Linked DNA regions of Lytechinus pictus. The protein of the gene in region 1 interacts with the protein of each later gene in a pairwise test. Links are inferred from orthologs where the notes say so. Each region holds a gene or a part of one and is shown in the gene's direction. Other genes may lie near its edges.

Region 1 (9,365 bases):
CAGTTATGAGCACATCGTCCTGAATATTCATTAGGTGGGCTGATGATGACATATCCCCACTTTCCTTTTTTCTTATGTTATTACATGAAATCAGAATTGTTTCATTTTTTTCATGCATGTGTAAATGATGTGTCTCCATTATGATGAAATAAGTTGCGGCAATAAATAACTAATGCACTATAGATCAGTTGTCAATCCTATTGTTTCAGTTCTTGGTAGAAAAGTTTTGAATAAACCTAATTTCATATAATAAAATACAAAAGAACAAGTGGGGATATGACAACATCAATCCACCTAATGAATATTCATGAAGACATGCCTAGAACTGTTTCACCGGAATAATGCAAATCTTTAAAATTCAATAACTTCGGTATTTGTTAATTTTGATCAAATTTTTAGAATTTGCTTTGTGAATTTTACTCAATTTATTGAGATATAAATATTTCCAGCCTGGACTATCCCTTTAAGGGAAATTTGTGATGATTTATAAACTCAAAAGCTTGATCGTTATTATTTTCATGAGAAGAACAGCGCCATCATTATGATGAGAATGGCCAAATCGCAACTGCCCCATCCCTTCCCCAGCAAAATATACGAGCGTCCCTCCTTGCCTACTTCACTTAGATAGGGATAGATTTCGGGTCAGATTACACATTTACCCTAAACATGCTAAATATCCCATATTTTCTAGACCTTTGAATTCCTTTCTGTAAAAGGCTGTTTGCTACAAGAACTTTGCAGCAGTTGTGTAACTTTTTTTTAAAGATTAATCGTGAATAATAGGCCTACTTACTTAATAGCGCTTCATACGTTGGTTTCTAAGCGCTTTACATTGTAATTATTATAAACCCGGTCATAGGATCCAACACTGTCCCACATATAAAATGCACCATCTCCACTGCCTAGGGAGTATTCTGGCCAGGCAACTGATTATCGGTGCACACATTCACATTGCCAATCTAATTTCATGAGTTGACGTCATTTTTACTATAGGCCTATATGAAATGTGAAATATTCTAAGTTTCTCCTCCTTGTCCAGTATTACAAATTGTTATTCCTCTCTGAACATGATGAATTGTCATTGTCTTAAGTCAAGTAGGTCCTTATTGTCAAATCTGCCAAAATAGAAATATTGTATAATTCAAACAATACAAAACAAAAGAAATAATGAGTGGGGGTGAGGGATGGTAAATTGCCAATTCGTTATTACTGTCAACTCGTCCATTCACCACATGGTCAACTTTCATTTAGTCTAATGGCATTCCGTTCATCAACACGTCGTCTAACAACCATTTGGTCTAATCATCACTTCGTCTAATCACCATTTCGTCTCATAACCATGCAGTCGGTCTAATATCCATTTCATTTTCATTCATTTTGCACAATTTAACACTTAGTCCAATTAGACCAAATGATATATAGACTAAATGGCTATTGGACCAACTGGTTATTAGGCGGCATGACATTATAGACTTAATGAAAGTAAACCATGTTGTAAGTGGGATTACTGATAGTAAACGACTTGGCAATTGGACGAATTGGCATTAGACGATCTGGAAATAAACCGGGAAGGACTCAAGGACATCATTGACTCAGTCTCTCATTTGCATATCCTTGAGTAAGGTTGTGCATAAAATGCCATAACTTTCTCATTTTACATCCGAATTTGATGAAATTTTTAGCGTTATGCTTGTTTGATTTTTCTTTTTTGATTCAGATTAAATTTTTTTGGGAGGCGAACTTGACCTTTAAAAATTAAACTCCGACTTGCTTAAGATTTTAAACACTTGTTCACACTGTGAAACAAATATACTGTAGAGTTTATTTATTGACGCCCCCCCCCCCTTGTAGGGGGAGGGGGACATTGTGGGCATTTGACTCCCCCAAATTGTCTAAAGAAATAGTGAATTAAGAAACATGAACATCCACCCTTTTCCCCAACAGTTTATTTGCCATCCACTTGCCCTCCCCCTCTTTTAAGGACAAAAATGATGTCCCTCCCTTTCATCATTCTATCATAACTTGACTCTTTACCTATTATCATCATTTATTTCCCCCCTGACATTAGTTATAATATTACGTCTCCATGACAAAATCAAACAGCTGGCAGGGTTCCCTAAAGATTAGCCTTAGAAAGATGAAAGCGCACGCATTATTTCGAGAGAGCTATGTTGATGGTTATAAGAGGAGCGACATGTGCAGAATCATAATTCTCCTCGTACGCCCAACAAAAAGGACTTCGCACTTTGAACTCTCCGGTAGGGGGGACACCTGTGCCAGAAATCTACAAATATCATTCCACGTCAGTTAAATGCAATATATCACCGACCGTTTGAGTTGTATGATATCAATAGCCGTATTTACACGGGAGACATTGTTCTCATTCAGATCAATTCATTCGGAAACGTAAAGCTGTTGTATTCACAAAAGAGAACAATTCGGAATATAGATAATTTTACAATGGACCACGCAGTGACTCAGGACTTCAATAATAGGGTAAGAAACTTCAAATACGGTTTGTTAAAAAATAAGCATATTATTCATTCTTTTACTGGAAAAAATAATTTTAGTAATCATGCTTTGGATTGATACTAAATTTATGTAGAAGTTTGATACCAAATCATGTACGTTGTTTTAGCAATCTCGTCTCATGACGCATAAACAAAATTTCGATTGAAAATTGAAAATGTTCATTTATATTCAACAATGAATGATTTTATAATTAGTGCATGTCCCGTGCCCCCTTTTGAGAACCATAAATATATTTGTTAGTGCAAAACGTGCATGCGCAAGTCAAGTGAGGACTGCGTTTTGCTTGTCAAATTTTTCGTGACATAAATCACCATAATTAGGAAATGAAGACCTTCTTGGGGCAGGTTTTTTTTTTCTATATAAAAAAGCCCCCCTTTTCAAAAATTCTAGATCCGCCCCTGGTGGTTGGTTATATTTTCAAACACTAGCTTTCTTATTTCGTACAATTTTTTTTTTCATGGTATGCACTTTTATGGGCCGTCATGCTCTAATTAGCAAAAAGTATCTGAAAAATATAAAACAAAGAAAATGAAATAAGTAAGGTGTGATTTAATTCAAATTGATGCTTTCATCATGAGGTTTTAGTGATATATAGGCCTCTTTCCATATACTTTTATTATATTTCATTAGAGGCATTTGCATTTGAGACACGAGAAACAAAGTAGGCTTGTAATGGTAAAACTCGTCATTTTCCGATCAATATTTTTTGTGGAATTTTGACTCAATTATGGCGACAACGGTTGCTGTGTTTTTATTGATTTTTTTATAGCCCATAGTGTTATTCATATAATGTTATTCATATAAACATAAAAGATCACTCAGTTATCAAATAAATATTAAATTACATAAGAGCTAGGGAACGTGCAAGTTTGTTTGATAAAAATAACGTCAAGAATATAATTGTAACATTTCCATTTCCTTTCCATCAGTTCTATTTTATACTGCTTTTCTTTAAAATGTCAATTGTTAGTTTGCATCTGATTTATATTACCCTGTATTGTGTTTGAATGGCAATGAAATAATGAATTGAACTGGATATTATATAAGAAAAAGGATTCAGGAAAGACAACGTCCATGATAAAAAAAAACATGCTGTACAAAGTCTTTATGATATCCGTCTGGTCTTATTCATGCACATTCTTATTTCTGCTCCAACTTCTACAGCTGGCTTGGTCTAACATACACAACAAAGACTGTCGTGTTAACCGGTGTACATAGAGGACCATACCAGTTATTTTTCACCGGTGTTAAATTGACAGTGTTACAACACCTTTGGTTGTCACATCAACACCCTTTGGTGTTATGTTCAATCCCTAGGGTGTAATTTTAACACCTCAGGGTGTGGTCCTCTATTAACACCAACTGGTGTCAGTTTTAACACCTCAGTTTTTACAGTGTACCATTTATGGCATATTTATCATTTTTTTAATGGTTAACCATTGTTGCTAAAACAAAATTGTATACCAAAACTGGCGGATTCATTTTTTCTTACAGGGAGGGGCCTAAACAGAGGCCTATTTTTTCTTCAAAGATTTCAATATAGGTCTCCATAATGCGAACTTCCCGTCCGATGTTATTTTGACAAGCAAAATATAAAAAAAATAAGGGGTTATTACTCTAATACCCCTCTCCTTGAAGCCAGTGGGGTCCAGTGTTTTTGCATGATTTTCAGGGGGGGGGGGTTCTTTGTAAAAAAAAACGCCATTCTGGAATCCTTCCCCCGGCTGTACATTATATAATTGAAAATGACTGTAAACTGAACAGCGTGACATGACTTTTAAAGGAGAAATATATTGAAAATCGTAAAAATGGAGAATCATATATCAAATCAAAGGAGAAAATAAGGAGAACACGATGGTGTACATCATTTATCATAGAGACCGATGGAACTCAGTTAATTGATAGTTTAAAGTTCTCTCTCTAAATGCTTCAAACACGCAGAATTACGTCCGCGAAATTGGGGATTTTTTATGACGTCACTTTCTGTACGAGAGGCGTGTTTGGCTCTCCCACGTGAAGCTCCACTTGCATGCAAAACCTGTTGCGAGGGTACGTTTTCTCCACATTGTCACTGAATACTTCGATCACGAAATGAAAGAAAACCCAGAATTTTATCTAGATTTGGATTTTCAAATTGATGATTTTGAAGATGAAGAGAATGATGATGAAGTGAACAACAAAGTGACGTAGTTGGGGGTAAATTGGGGGAATCGATGATGAGGAGTCGGACAATTCAACTTGCAACACGATCACATGCCGATTCGCTACCAACTCATGCAGCTGCTAAGTGCTAGCTACACCGCGCGTGCCAAATTGAATTCACGAAAATGACTTGCCACACTGTCCAGACAGAGTCTCTTACTTCTGTGACTATGAAGAAGGAAAATAATGATTAAAACTGTACTTACAAATAAGTGAATGTAATCCGAACCTGAAGGCAAATCAACTCAACGAATAGCAGCAGACGATATGCACCGATGATAAAATTCATGTGGCTGGGATAGATTGTCACTCGTTCTGTTAGATGTAATTTTTATCTCATTAATTTGACAAAATTACGAAACTCGGGGAATTATTTATCTATATAAAAATATAGTAACATCTCGTATAATTTTTAAATTACGATAAAACGTTTTTTGAAGGAAAACATTGAGGTAAATTAAAATTAGATGTAAAAGATCCCCAACATGCGTAGCTTGATTGAGAGCTGTGCAACACGTGCATAGATCTACTCTCTCAGCCACGGCGAGCAAGCAATACGGCATGTTTGTGATTTTGAATACGATCACATATACGAGCTTTTAAAAGGTTTTATCGTAATTTAAAAAATAATACGAGATGTTACTATATTTTTATATAGATAAATAATTCCCCGAGTTTCGTAATTTTGTCAAATTAATGAGATAAAAATTACATCTAGTGACAATCTATCCCAGCCACATGAAGTTTATCGTCGGTGCATATCGTCTGCTGCTATTCGTTGAGTTGCCTTCAGGTTCGGATTACATTCACTTGTTTGTAAGTACAGTTTTATCATTATTTTCCTTCTTCATAGTCACAGAGGTAAGAGACTCTGTCTGGACAGTGTGGTAATTCATTTTCATGAATTCAATTTGGCCCGCGCGGTGTAGCTAGCACTTAGCAGCTGCATGAGTTAGGTAGCGAATCGGCATGTGATCATGTTGCAAGTTGAATTGTCCGACTCATCATCATCGGCGTAATTCCCCCAATTTACCTCCAACTACGTCACTTTGTTGTTCATTTCATCATCATTCTCTTCATCTTCAAAATCATCAATTTGAAAATCCAAATCTAGATAAAATTCTGGGTTTTCTTTCATTTCGTGATCGAAGTATTCAGTGACAGTGTGGAGAAACCGTACCCTCGCAACAGGTTTTGCATGCAAGTGGAGCTTCACGTGGGAGAGCCAATCACGCATCTCGTACAGAAAGTGACGTCATCAAATTCAAGTCAATTCAGAGACCGATGCGAGGCATATTTCGGAGAGGCATTTTGAGCGTTTTTTAATCGGCGATTTTCACCTTATGTATTATTTTCGTTATTTTTGAATGACCCACTGATAATCCCCACATCATTACCTTTCCATTGACATATAATAAGACCACATTCATAATCAATATAGTTCTCCTTTAAGTTTAGACAGCTCATCAGTATTTAGGATAATACTAATCGAATTAATAACAAATTAGTGATGAGTCATCACTAATTTGTTATTAATTCGATTAGTATTATCCTAAATACAAATATACTTTCGCATTGTTTGTCATTGTACTTCTAAGCGAAGGTAATGTAAATTTGATGATAAGCGGAGCACGTTGGCCTGAAAGTACTTTAAAAATGTCATTCCTTAGACGATTTTGATTATTTTCAGTGCTTTGTTTGTCCGATTTTACTTTATCTGTTCAAATAATGTCATTTTTTACTATTACTACTACTACTACTACTACTACTACTACTACTACTACTACTACTACTACTACTACTACTACTATACTACTACTAGTACTACTAGTACTACTACTACTACTACTACTACTACTACTACTGCTACTACTACTACTTCTACTACTACTTTATAATTAATTGAATCGTGATACTTTTTCTTTGTTTGAACATAAATTTGTTTTATGTCAGTGGTTTAATTATGTTTTCAATCCATCTCTCTCTATCCACCCAGGTGAGGGCTACTCTTGAGTACGAGAAAGACCAGGCCCAGCTTTACTCACAACTAAAAAAATACAAGCAGTAAGTATTTTTAAAGGCCACTGAAATTGTTCCGGGAGGGGCAGGACGCGTACAATTTTTCGAAGAAACTCGAAAGCGAAGGAACGAAGCGACCAAGCTATTTATTGGGGCGCTTTGCATTTTTAAAGGTGAAAAATTAAGGATTTTGTACACAGTTTTGGTGGATTTTGCGAAAGTTTGAAGTAAAAAAATGTAGATTTTCAAAACTTCTGGGGGCAGCTACCCCCGCCGCCCCCGTTGCCTAAGACCATGTTCTTGCACCCCTCGCTGCCTTGGTTCACCCCCTTTTTCTCCTTACTGGTCCCTCAATCTCACGACTTCACAAACAGTTGACTACCCCCCCCCCCCCCTACAAAACAAATCAATAAATCAATAAAAAATGTTTTAAGATCAAAAAATTAATTTCCCTTTTTTTGAATCTTTGAAAGCGACTATTTCGAATTTAATTTGGAAAAGAGGTATACTTTGATCGGGGGTCTGGGGCCCATTTGATTAAGACTTATTATCATAACAAATGCAAAATTGCTATAGGCTAACAAGTTTGCCAATCACATTGAATGATTTGAGTAGCTAAAAATATTACTGCAAATAATTGTTATGAATTAAGTTTTATGAAACGGGCCTCTCAAACAGGTTCGTCGGTAAAAGGAGTTATCGTTTTCTCGCCATATGGGGAGAATATAGGGTCTATGTCGTTCATATTACCATAGTTCTATATAAAACAAAACAAATAAATAAATATCACGATATCGTCACAAATGTCATGCTAAATCTAAGATGATCACCAACTGTCGAGAAAAGGAATTTAAAGTAAGGTTGGTGAAAGATGAATCTATTAGGATTCAGGCAGTTTATATCGTCGATGATAGCTTCAAGCCGAAAAGCAGTCGTGCTAAAAACACAATAATTATTATGGGATAATGTATTTCAGATATAAAAGTTCAATGTGCAAAGTTTGAAGTGCGTCTGTTCTCTCTCGTAATTGCTTTTCTAAAATCTGTTTAACGTCGTCATCTAAAAGGGAACATTCATCTAAAGTGAGCCGTTTGTGGAGGTCATTGTGGAGAAAGGACATGCTTATTAAGAGAACAATACGGAATATATGAAATGACATCTCATTAATTCCATTGAGCATTTATGACTCGTTTTCAGAATGTACAAAATTCAGCTTCGTTAACCATGCCTTAACAAAGTAATATGATTTGGAACAAAAACGAAATAAGTTTTGACTGCTTGTGAGCCTTTAACAACATTTTTGCTCAGTCGACACTTTGATCGCCTTATCTAGTCTGATTTTATCTTATTCAACCTTATCTTATCTTATTTTGTCGCATATTTTTTTCTTCTTATATCATCTAACTTTTCTTGCCTTGTCTTATCTGATCTTATCTTATCTATCTTATCTAACCTAACTTATCTTGTCTTGTCTTATCTTATCTTTATATTATCTTATACGTTACACTATCTTACTCTAGGTGGTTTCAGACCGCCTCGAAGTTCGCCAGTTCCAGGTATTCTCTGATCGGGAAATTTACCCCGATCAGAAAATACCAGGTATTTTGGCGGTGTGAAAGCAAACTACGCGTAATATCCCCGAAAGAAAATACCCGATAAATAGTAGGTACTTGGCGAAATTACGAGAACTTTCGCGGGGATTTTTCCAAGGTCGTGGGTATTTTGGCGGTCTGAAAGCAAATTACGGGAACTTTTAGCCCAGCGTGTCGTTAGGTGCGGCGCCGTGCATGGGTTGCTGCTGGGCTAGTGATTTTGAATTTCGCGCCTTGCTGCTTATCAGACCATACTGCGCATGCTCGTAACTTCAGGAACTTATCCCGAAGGGTATGTTTCAGGGCGGTGTGAATGCAGGAATAATTAATGGGTATTTTTCAGCTTAAAAAAGTTCTCGTAATTTAACGGGGATTCTATGAGGCGCCGAATGTACCAATATTATATAGAACAATTATTTGTTATATAATCATTATTTATTAAATAATAACTATTATTTATATATAATTTACATTTTATTTGTAAATAACTACTATTATATAAAATATCATTTCTAATTATTTATATATAATTCCAAGTAATACTTCATTATTTGTAAATAATAATAGTTCGACATTCCATTATTTATAAATAATGATTATTTGTTTTTCATTATTTATAAATAATGATTATTTGTTTTTCATTATTTATAAATAATGATTATTTGTTTTTCATTATTTACAAATAATGATTGTTTGTTTTTCATTATTTATAAATAATGATTATTGGTTTTTCATTATTTATAAATAATGATTATTTGTTTTTCATTATTTACAAATAATGATTATTTGTTTTTCATTATTTATAAATAATGATTATTTGTTTTTCATTATTTATAAATAATTTGTTGAGTTTTCCATTATTTATAAATAATGATTATTTGTTAAATAATGAAAACGTCTACTTCATTATTTATAAATAATTTTTTCGAGTGCACCATTATTCTCATTATTTATAAATAATCATTATTTAATGTTCGAGTTTTCCATTATTTATAAATAATGATTATTTGTTAAATAATG
Region 2 (9,565 bases), on another chromosome or scaffold:
TCCGGTTCGGTTATAAAAACTGTTTTACAACGGAGCCCTCCACCTGAATCTTGTATAAGCTTTGTTTTCTGGGACAATGTTTATATTGTTACCAGAGTAACAGTTTTCCTTATAATATAAATGCCACTAAACATGTAGCATCTAATCAGAAACTTGAATATTTGGTTACATTGGACATTATCTCGCGTTCCTCTCGACTAATTTATTAAATATTATTTGTTACACGCAAACTTAGGCATCGCTAGTTGACCGCTTTCAATATGGGAGTTGTCAGATTTCATAACCATCTTGTATCTTAATATTCCCGAGCAACCCTAGGGAGTGCGGGAATATTATACTGTTACCATTGCCCTGAGAACGATTTTTTTTCAGTGGGGGTGCTGAAATGGGCTGAAATCTCAAGGGTTGAGGAGGCACAATTGAGTTTTCCATTTACACATGCAAGGGCACCCCTCCCCCCACAAACACACCTTCACACCCTTCTTAGCTTTATTGTTGTAAAAGAACATATAAATATAATCAAATAGTGCGACCGAGAAGCGCGAGCTAATTTTTTTTTTATATTTCATGTATTTTGTCCTTGAAATTGAACATTTTGTGCAATGTTAATCATCCTGAACAAGATGCTTATGTAACTGCGAGCGCGATCAAAAATTGTTAATGTATGTTCTGGCCAGATCGAAAAGGGACCTGTTATAAGGACTGTTTGCAGTTACCCTTGAAGGCGATAAATATTCAAACAATTAAATATTGCGAGCTAAGTGAAAATTTCATGTATTTTTGTCCAGTGGGGGGGGGGGGTGCAAGCTGCCCCCCTGGCGTAGTTCACCGGAAAAATAAAAAACCGGGAAAAGGAAAAAAGGGGGAGAAAGAAAGAAATGGAAAGGGAAAGGAAATGAAAAAAAGAGAAGAGAAAAAAGGGGGAAAAGGAAAGGGAATAGAAAACTAATAAAAAAAAATAAAAAGGTAAAACGGGAAAAGGAAGGAAAGAAGAAAATGTGAGAAAGAACAATTCTCCCCGATATACAAATACATTAGCATGATTAGTAAGACGGAAATAAATTAAAGATGACAAAAAGGCAAACAAAATCGGGAAATGAAGGTCGAATGGAATGAGACAAAATCTTATTGGAAAATAAAGAAAGGGACAAGATAACACTACCGGGCTGCCGAGGATCGAAGATAACGAGCGGGCAGAAAGATGGATGGTATTTTTGTTGTATGAAAGTCGATCATAAACTTGCTAAATCTCCAAAGCTACCGGGGGCTCTGTCCAAGACCCCGTGCAGTGGGGGCTCTTCATCTGTAACATTTAAAGGGCTCTATAACGGGCCCCTGTATGGACCCTTCCTGCATTAAGCTTTACGTTGAAGCAGTGGCGTACCGGGGGGGGGGTGGTTCCACAGCCAAGAGGAAATTAAAAAAAATAAAGGAGGCAGCCAATTGAGATGAATGAAAAAAAATTATAATTGACATATTTGCTATGATGTAAAAATCTATCACATAATTATAATTTCATTTCAAAAGGCCATTTTCTTTCTGGCCCGCTTTGCTCGCTGGCGACATTTTACAAATTTTCCCACATTTGCTAAGGTGTGCCCCATCAAAATATTTGGATGATTGCGGTACACAACTGCATTGAATTTATGTGTTGTGTAAAAGCTATATTTGATTAAAATTAGTGGCCATCTGTAAGGTTTAAAATGGCTTTAATATCAAGAAGTTCCGGGGCTCCGCCCCGGATCCCACCCACACAGCACTGTTGTATAGATGAGTTTGGACCATGGCCCCCAAAAGTTCTCCAACCAAACAAATAAGAAAAGAGGAAAGAAAGAAAAGCAAACGAAAAGTGTACTATATTTTTCTGAATATCACGTCAAAATCTGTCTTCATGTTAGATTCTCATGAAAAGGTGATTTTTTATCTTGCTCGCTTTGCTCGCTAGGGACTTATATTAAGCTACTTCTTGCCACACGAGCCATACTGGGCCCCCTTGAGCACATAGAGCTTCGCCCTGATGCGCACAATCATAACAAAAATCCTGTTCACCGTGGCGTACAAAAAAAGAGAGAAGGGTGAAATATTATATAATCTTTTTAACATAATGTCAAAATGTATCACAAAATTTGATTTTTGTAATAAAAATGTCAACATTTTTGCTCGCTCGCTTCGCTCGCTCGCATTTTTTTCCCCCGATACATCATATCGCCCCCTCAAAATTTTTGCCTCATGACGCCATTACCTGTTCCATGATTATGACCGGGAAATTTTTTGGCTCTTAAATAAGTATTATATCAAATATAATCTAATAGTGAATTGTAATTATCAATAAATCAAAGTACAAATTGGCAATATTTATAAATAATTGAAAAGTGAAGTGTACTTATCTAGTAATAAAGAAATATACATTGTTGTTATTTAAAGAAAAAAGGAAAATGATTCGTTATCATTTACATCGATGAAGCATGAATCATTGTTATGCATAAATAACTGACATAAGTGAAGAGTTGTTTATATAGAACAATGTACACCCGCTTTAATAATCTTGTCTTCTTACCTAAACAAGCCGGCATGCCGAGTCCCAACATTTCGTTATCCTGTCTTCTTGTCACAAACAAGCCGGCAAGCCGAGTTTCATCAACTCGCCATCATGTCTTCTTGTCACAAACAAGCCGTCATGCCGATTTCCGACATTTCGTCATCCCGTCTTCTTGTCACAAACAAGCCGGCATGCCGAGTTTCAACAACTCGTCATCTCGTCTTCTGGGGGCACTTTTAAGCTTCCGTACAAACAAGCCAGCATGCCGAGTTCCAACAACTCGTCATCTTGTCACAAACAAGCCGGCACGCCGCGTTCCAAAAACTCGTCATCTTGTCTTCTTGTCACAAACAAGCCGGCATGCCGACTTTCATCAACTCGTCATCTTGTCCTCTTGTCACAAACAAGTCAGCATGCTGAGTTCCAACAACTCGCCATCTTGTATTCTTGTCACAAACATGCTGGCATGCCGAGTTCCAACAACTCGTCATCTTGTCCTCTTGTCACAAACAAGCTGGCATGCCGCGTTTCAACAACTCGTCATCTTGTCTTCTTGTCTCAAACAAGCCAGCATGCCGAGTTCCAATATTTCGTCATCCCGTCTTCTTATCAAAAACAAGTCAGCATGCTGAGTTCCAACAACTCGCCATCTTGTATTCTTGTCACAAACAAGCTGGCATGCCGAGTTCCAACAACTCGTCATCTTGTCCTCTTGTCACAAACAAGCCGGCATGCCGCGTTCCAACAACTCGTCATCTTGTCCTCTTGTCACAAACAAGCCGGCATGCCGACTTTCATCAACTCGCCACCTTGTATTCTTGTCACAAACAAGCCGGCATGATGAGATTCAACAACTCGTCATCTTGTCTTCTTGTCACAAATCAAGCAGACATGCCGCGTTTCAACAACTCGTCATCTTGTCTTCTTGTCACAAACAAGTCAGCATGCCGAGTTCCAACAACTCGTCATCTTGTCCCCTTGTCACAAACAAGCCGGCATGCTGAGATTCAACAACTCGTCATCCTGTCTTCTTGTCACAAACAAGCCGGAATGCCGACTTTCATCAACTCGCCATCTATTCTTGTCACAAACAAGCTGGCATGCTGAGATTCAACAACTCGTCATCCCGTCTTCTTGTCACAAACAAGCTGGCATGCCGCGTTTCAACAACTCGTCATCTTGTATTTTTGTCTGAAACAAGCCGGAATGCCGACTTTCATTAACTTGCCATCTTGTCTTCTTGTCCAAAACAAGTCGACATGCCGGCATGGGTCATCTCATCTTCTCATCTCGTCTTCTGGAGGCACCTTTAAGCTTCCGTAGGTTGGCACTTATAAGGTTCCGTATAAGTCGGACTTCGTCAAGCCCATATAACGTCGAACTATTTTGGCGATAATTCGATGAATTTATTATTAGTATCACATAATTTTGTTAGTACATATTTACGTGATTGTACGGATTCAGATCTTCGTAGGGGAAGTTATTTTGTTAATGGTATTATCGTAGCCCTAAAACATCGTAGGAGCATCGTATGGTCATTCCAAGGGTATCGTACAATGAATGGGCATCGTAAGATCGGCGCAAGTGCATGGTATATATTGTAAAGACATCCTCCTACGATCAACACAGTGGTATTGCGATCTCCGTACGGCCTCTGCATGGCTTTGTCTTTGGCATTCTACGATCGATGCCCATCACATGAAATTGTACGATATACACAAACAATCGTAGCACATAGCCAACCCTAATGCCGCCTACAAATCGTAGACTGATCCATCGTACGATCATAGGGTTATTCAGTTTCAATTTTAGACCATTATTCATTCTTGGCTTGAAATTAAGTTGTGATTATGTTACAAATCACTTCAAATGGAAAATTAAGTATAAATCATTTCATAAGAATAAGCCCAAAAAAATAAAATTCCATTAATTTCCAAAATACGAGTGATCGCGTCCATGAAAATATAACATTTTATTTTTCTTGTTTGCCCCTTCTTTTATCTACCCACACTTCCCCTTATCTCATCTGCCCCCCTCTCTACCCCCTCTCTCTTTTGTTGCTAGCCCCATGTACGCCATTGCAATCCGGAATGGGGGGGGGGGGTGTTTCATGCCAAACAGGGAAATAATCCCAGAGCCCCGTCTAACAAAGAGTTGCGATTGATCTGATCGATCGCAACTATGGACGGCCAGCAACGTCAACATCTATTATGAATATTTGTTCAAAATATCTTCTAGCTATGATTTATATTCATGCATTCATCGTTGTCTTGAAAATTCAGTGTAGTGTGCTTCTCTGTGTTCACAAAGGACATTGTGCACATTTCCTGTAGAAAAAATTATGACACTGAGGGATTTCCATAGAGTGACGATTAGTTGGATCAATCGTAACTCTTTGTAACTCTTTGTAAGACGCCTATATCCCGGTAAATCAAAATCATTAATTCTTCCAACAATTAAAGGGGAAGTTTATCCTGATGAAAAGTTTGTTGTAAAAATAGCAGAAAAAAATATTGGAGAAGGTTTGAGGAAGATACATTACAGATTAAGAAGGATATTAGAATTTTAAGTTTTGGATTTGTGACGTCATAAACGAGCAGCTGCCCATATGTTATGTAATATAAAATGCATGATGATTTTTTAATGGTTCGTGATGACTCATTTTTGTTTTCGTCTTAGAAACTGCCGGGTATGAAATGATTTGACTATTGTTATAAGGTACAGTAAAAACCCATTTTCAATTTTTTTCTTTTTAATTGACATTTCATTGATTTTTTACCATACGATATGTTGGAAATCTGCTCGCATAATCATTTTTTTTAATTCCATGATGTATTCTTCTCAAACCTTCGGCAATATTTTGTTCTATTATTATTTCTGCTATTTTTACAATATACTTTTTGTCATGGTGAACTTCCCCTTTAAATAACCTAGAACTATTCTCATGTCAAAGTGCTGTTTGAATTGATTAACTCTAGATGATGTATATATATATATGTCAATTTATATTCTGTTTTGGAATATACTTGCGCGGAAGATAGAAGAGTGTTAATTCAACTTGAGATGGGGGCGAAGTCTACCTGAGCAACGCCCACAGTTGTCGTACACTTCAGATTCATCGATCGGCCACACTTCAGCAAAATTCATATTTAATCTGGGTAAAGTGTGCGTATAGATACGAGCTGGGACGATAATCATTAGGCTGGTAGACGAAGTCCCGTTGTTTTGTGATACAAGTTATATTCTTTTGCCGTCATTGTATGCGGCATTCTCTAGTATACTTGACGTTCTCCAGTAGTCATATATTACTAAACAATCATTACCGATACCGAGCTCAATAACATGTTATTATCAATGGACTTGTTCATTTAAAACTCAATCTAGACTCTTCCATGTCCTGCTTCTGACATATGAAAAGTGAATCGGGAACAAGGACACATCTAACAGGAATTGAGAACCTCTTCAAGTATTAACTATTGTTCTAGACCATGACGACGAAGTTTCACGAAGCCGCAAAAGAGGGGCACCTGGACCCACTCCGCGAGGCCACTAAACGGGACTGCAACCGGACAGATGAGTCCGGGAGGACCCCAACATTATGGGCTGCGACTAATGGTCACATAGATGCACTTAGGTTGATTGTTAGCAGAGGGTAGGTTTTTGTAATATATGCGTATGTATATATGGGGGCAATTGGGGCATGGGTTTTTGGCGTATTTTGAAAAATAAGGGTCAGTGGTTTAATACTGGAGGGAGAGCAAGCCACCCTTATCATTTGCCTAAATTTTCTCTTTACCATTACTAATGGTGGAGTTCTAGATCAGTAACACATTACATAAAATTACATAAAACTTGTAATAACAAAAACTACTGAAATCCTTCAATGTGAGTGGCTGACCGGGGTGGCTGATAGATTAAAGAAATTGTGCATATGTTATGTACATGTCAATCCCATAGCTTGACTGAATTTTTACACCCGATTCTGATTAAAAACAAATCATGTTGTTATATATAACTGCTCCGCGAACATCTAAATTATCATTTTTGTAACGCAATGTGATTCATTGAAGAACACCTTCATTTATCATTAAATCATGTGATACTTCCATTGAATAGAATATAAAAGTAATAATGTGTGACGTCATCGACTCATTTATTAAAAAACAAAAAAGCTTGATATGTCTTGTCTGACTTTACATGCGATTTAGATGAAATACCTATGTTACGCTAGTTTAGTTTTTATTCTGTATTTAAATATCTGATGACGTGTACTTGGCCTTGAATCATATTTAGTATTTTGAAAGTCCACGATAAATTAATTATGGGCCTATTATAGAAATTTGATAGGGGGAGAACGACCTATAAATGTGGGGGGTTTTAAATAATACAGGTTTTATTTATAGTGTTATTTCTTTCTTCCTTTCTCTTCCTCTTTGTAAAAATCCTATGTCTCTTTCCAGTTCTTAAAAAATTATTGTTAGGTGGTCACCCCTTGCTCCCATCCGGTCTGAAAAGTGCTGAATCCTGCGAGCGTGCTATACTGTTGCATGATCTGTTTTATGCTTCTTTGCCGGGAATGCACAGGTTTTCCCTTTAAGCAGCAAACATTGCCTTCTAGCTTTAGAGAATTGAATTCTACACATGTTCCTTTGTTTGTACTTTAATCGATGCAGTCCACATCAACAAATTGCACGGGCTCAATATCTGATATTCTATACTTATGAATGAGTTGTTTTGACGCGATTTATTTAAGTACGAACCCAATCTGGCAAAGCCCCGGGGGGAGGGGGGGGCACTCAACCAAAAAAGTGGTAGGGGTGTGCCGCGGGCGAGACAAAAAACGGGGGCCTTGGAGCGGGCTTATTGTAAAAAGGAGGGTCCTCGGAACGGGCTTCGGAACTACAAATGTTTGTGAGAACGGGGGTCCTTGGAACGGATCGCCAGCGTGTGCTGGAACGGGCATGCGTGCATGATGCAGCTAGCGCGGCCTCCGCCGGGTGCGCTCGCGCAGAGGCGATGGTCGGACAGCGCTCTGCCGCCGCTTTTCATCCAAATTGCAGCTCCTTGTAGCAGATCAATGCGACCGGAACGGCGTAACGAAAAATAAGTGAAGCTTTGGAGCGGATTTCTTTCTTCTTTTTCCTCGATAAGAAGAAAATGCTATGCTTTGGAGCGGCTTTCTTTGTTCTTTTTCTCAATAAGACAAAAATGCTATGCCTTGGAATGGAAATTTGAGTGTAAAAATGGGGGTCCCCTCCGCGGCACATACCCACTATGCATTATATACTGAGTGCCCCCCCCCCCCCGGGGGGCAAAGCACTCGTAGTGGCCTTGTCAAAGCAAATTATAGGAAACATTTCAGAGAATCGATACAAACTGTATAGTCTGTATACTTTTAGGAGCACCAACAATAAAAAAAGATAAAGGACAAATTAGTTAAAAATCGAATCGTTTCTAAACAAGATATTGGATTCTCCGAATTTTTTTTTATAGTTATCGTTTTGGCGAATATTTAACTACAGTGGCGATTTCATATACCATCAGTGGACGTGCGGGTGAAAATATGTCTAACCGAAACCATAAAATGATCAAATTGAAAAAATCATGTGAATTTAATGCAAATATAGCGTCTATGAGAATTGTGTTTGACTTTGAGAATGTTTTGGTTGGACAATCATTTTGTTTTGTTGAATCTTTTTTTCAAAAGTTATACGACATAAGTAGTTCTCATGTGTGCATACAATCACTGGTGGAAAGTGAGTGTCACCTATTTTATTGTTTTATTTCATTTATTCAAGTGAGTCGATTTATTCATATACATGTATAATAAGCCCACATCAGAACATAGCATTACTTGTAAAATTTAAACTTCTTAATAAAAAATTGTCAGGCTCATTTTCAACTGAAGAAAAAAATAGAGAAACGAGTCATGAATTAGTTAAAAATATACGCGGTGATTTATAGGGGTATATTAATACTGAATCACAGTTAGATCTAAACGTATATTAGAAACAAAGAAAGAAATAGTTGAAATAACCATGAAACGGAAAAAAAAGGGATGGTGAATATTTTGAAGAGAACCTGTAGCTATCACAAACTTACCTAAGAATACTATTAAGATTATTAGGGCCTATAGATTATATTCTTATATCATAATGGATATGTCAAGATACGTTTTGAAAACAAACTTAATTGTTATATGCTCCCCTCTAATACAATATGTATAAAAAGTTTTAAAAAAGAGAGTGTTTATAGAGCCGTGCATGAACCTGCAATAAAATTTAGAGCATTTATGTATATTCTCAATATACTTCAAAGTTACATATAGAAAAATTGGTATTACATCAAAATAATTTTTCGCAGGAATATCATAAGCTTTTGAAAACTTAAACTATTTCTACTTCTTTGCCCTATTTCATTCTTTCAGAAAAACATAAGATAAGAATTTTATTTGCTTTAGCATGTTCAATAAGCACCCAGCGTGATATATTTATTTTTAAAAGTACAACAAAATTCATATCTGTTAATGCATAATCATCCACTATATAAGTGTAGATCATGATAACCAAAGTCAATAATATATTTTTATAGTTATATGAAACGTGAACATGGTAAGAGATTGCGATTTTATTTGTTTTTTGTTTTTTTATTTGTTTTTATAGGTAACCACCAATAAGCTTTATGTTAAACTTTAGTCTTTACACTCATTGCCATCGAATTCGTGAATGATCGAGATTAATAATGGTATGCATGCTATAAAATATATGGATATTATGCAGAGGCGTTGGGAGTGGTGATATTATATGTAAGCAGAACTTTATATATAGACCTCTCTTACATTATCCATGTTATCGGGGAGGACTTTGACCGCTATTGTGTACTGATTAAAGAACTCTTTGTAAAACAAATTTGTTGAAGAAATATTCTTGAATATAGGCTGATAGGCGTCTCTTGAAAGATTGCATGTATGATGATGTGCGCAAGTAATATCATGACATATTCCTACTTGCAATAATGATAATGGTG

What was found.
Region 2: the proteins of harmonin-like (region 1) and pre-mRNA splicing regulator USH1G-like interact in binary tests that used the Homo sapiens proteins (3 or more experiments, as listed by UniProt). The link is inferred for Lytechinus pictus from reciprocal best matches to the Homo sapiens genes USH1C and USH1G.

Annotation. Positions count from the first base shown.
Region 1 is NC_087253.1:25,236,096-25,245,460, forward strand, and holds the start of harmonin-like, read left to right. Parts: upstream 1-5,230; 5' UTR 5,231-5,472; coding exon 5,473-5,550; intron 5,551-6,730; coding exon 6,731-6,798; intron 6,799-9,365. UniProt on the Homo sapiens protein: Anchoring/scaffolding protein that is a part of the functional network formed by USH1C, USH1G, CDH23 and MYO7A that mediates mechanotransduction in cochlear hair cells. Required for normal development and maintenance of cochlear hair cell bundles.
Region 2 is NC_087254.1:24,471,626-24,481,190, forward strand, and holds the start of pre-mRNA splicing regulator USH1G-like, read left to right. Parts: upstream 1-5,546; 5' UTR 5,547-6,027; coding exon 6,028-6,191; intron 6,192-9,565. UniProt on the Homo sapiens protein: Plays a role in pre-mRNA splicing by regulating the release and transfer of U4/U6.U5 tri-small nuclear ribonucleoprotein (tri-snRNP) complexes from their assembly site in Cajal bodies to nuclear speckles, thereby contributing to the assembly of the pre-catalytic spliceosome on target pre-mRNAs.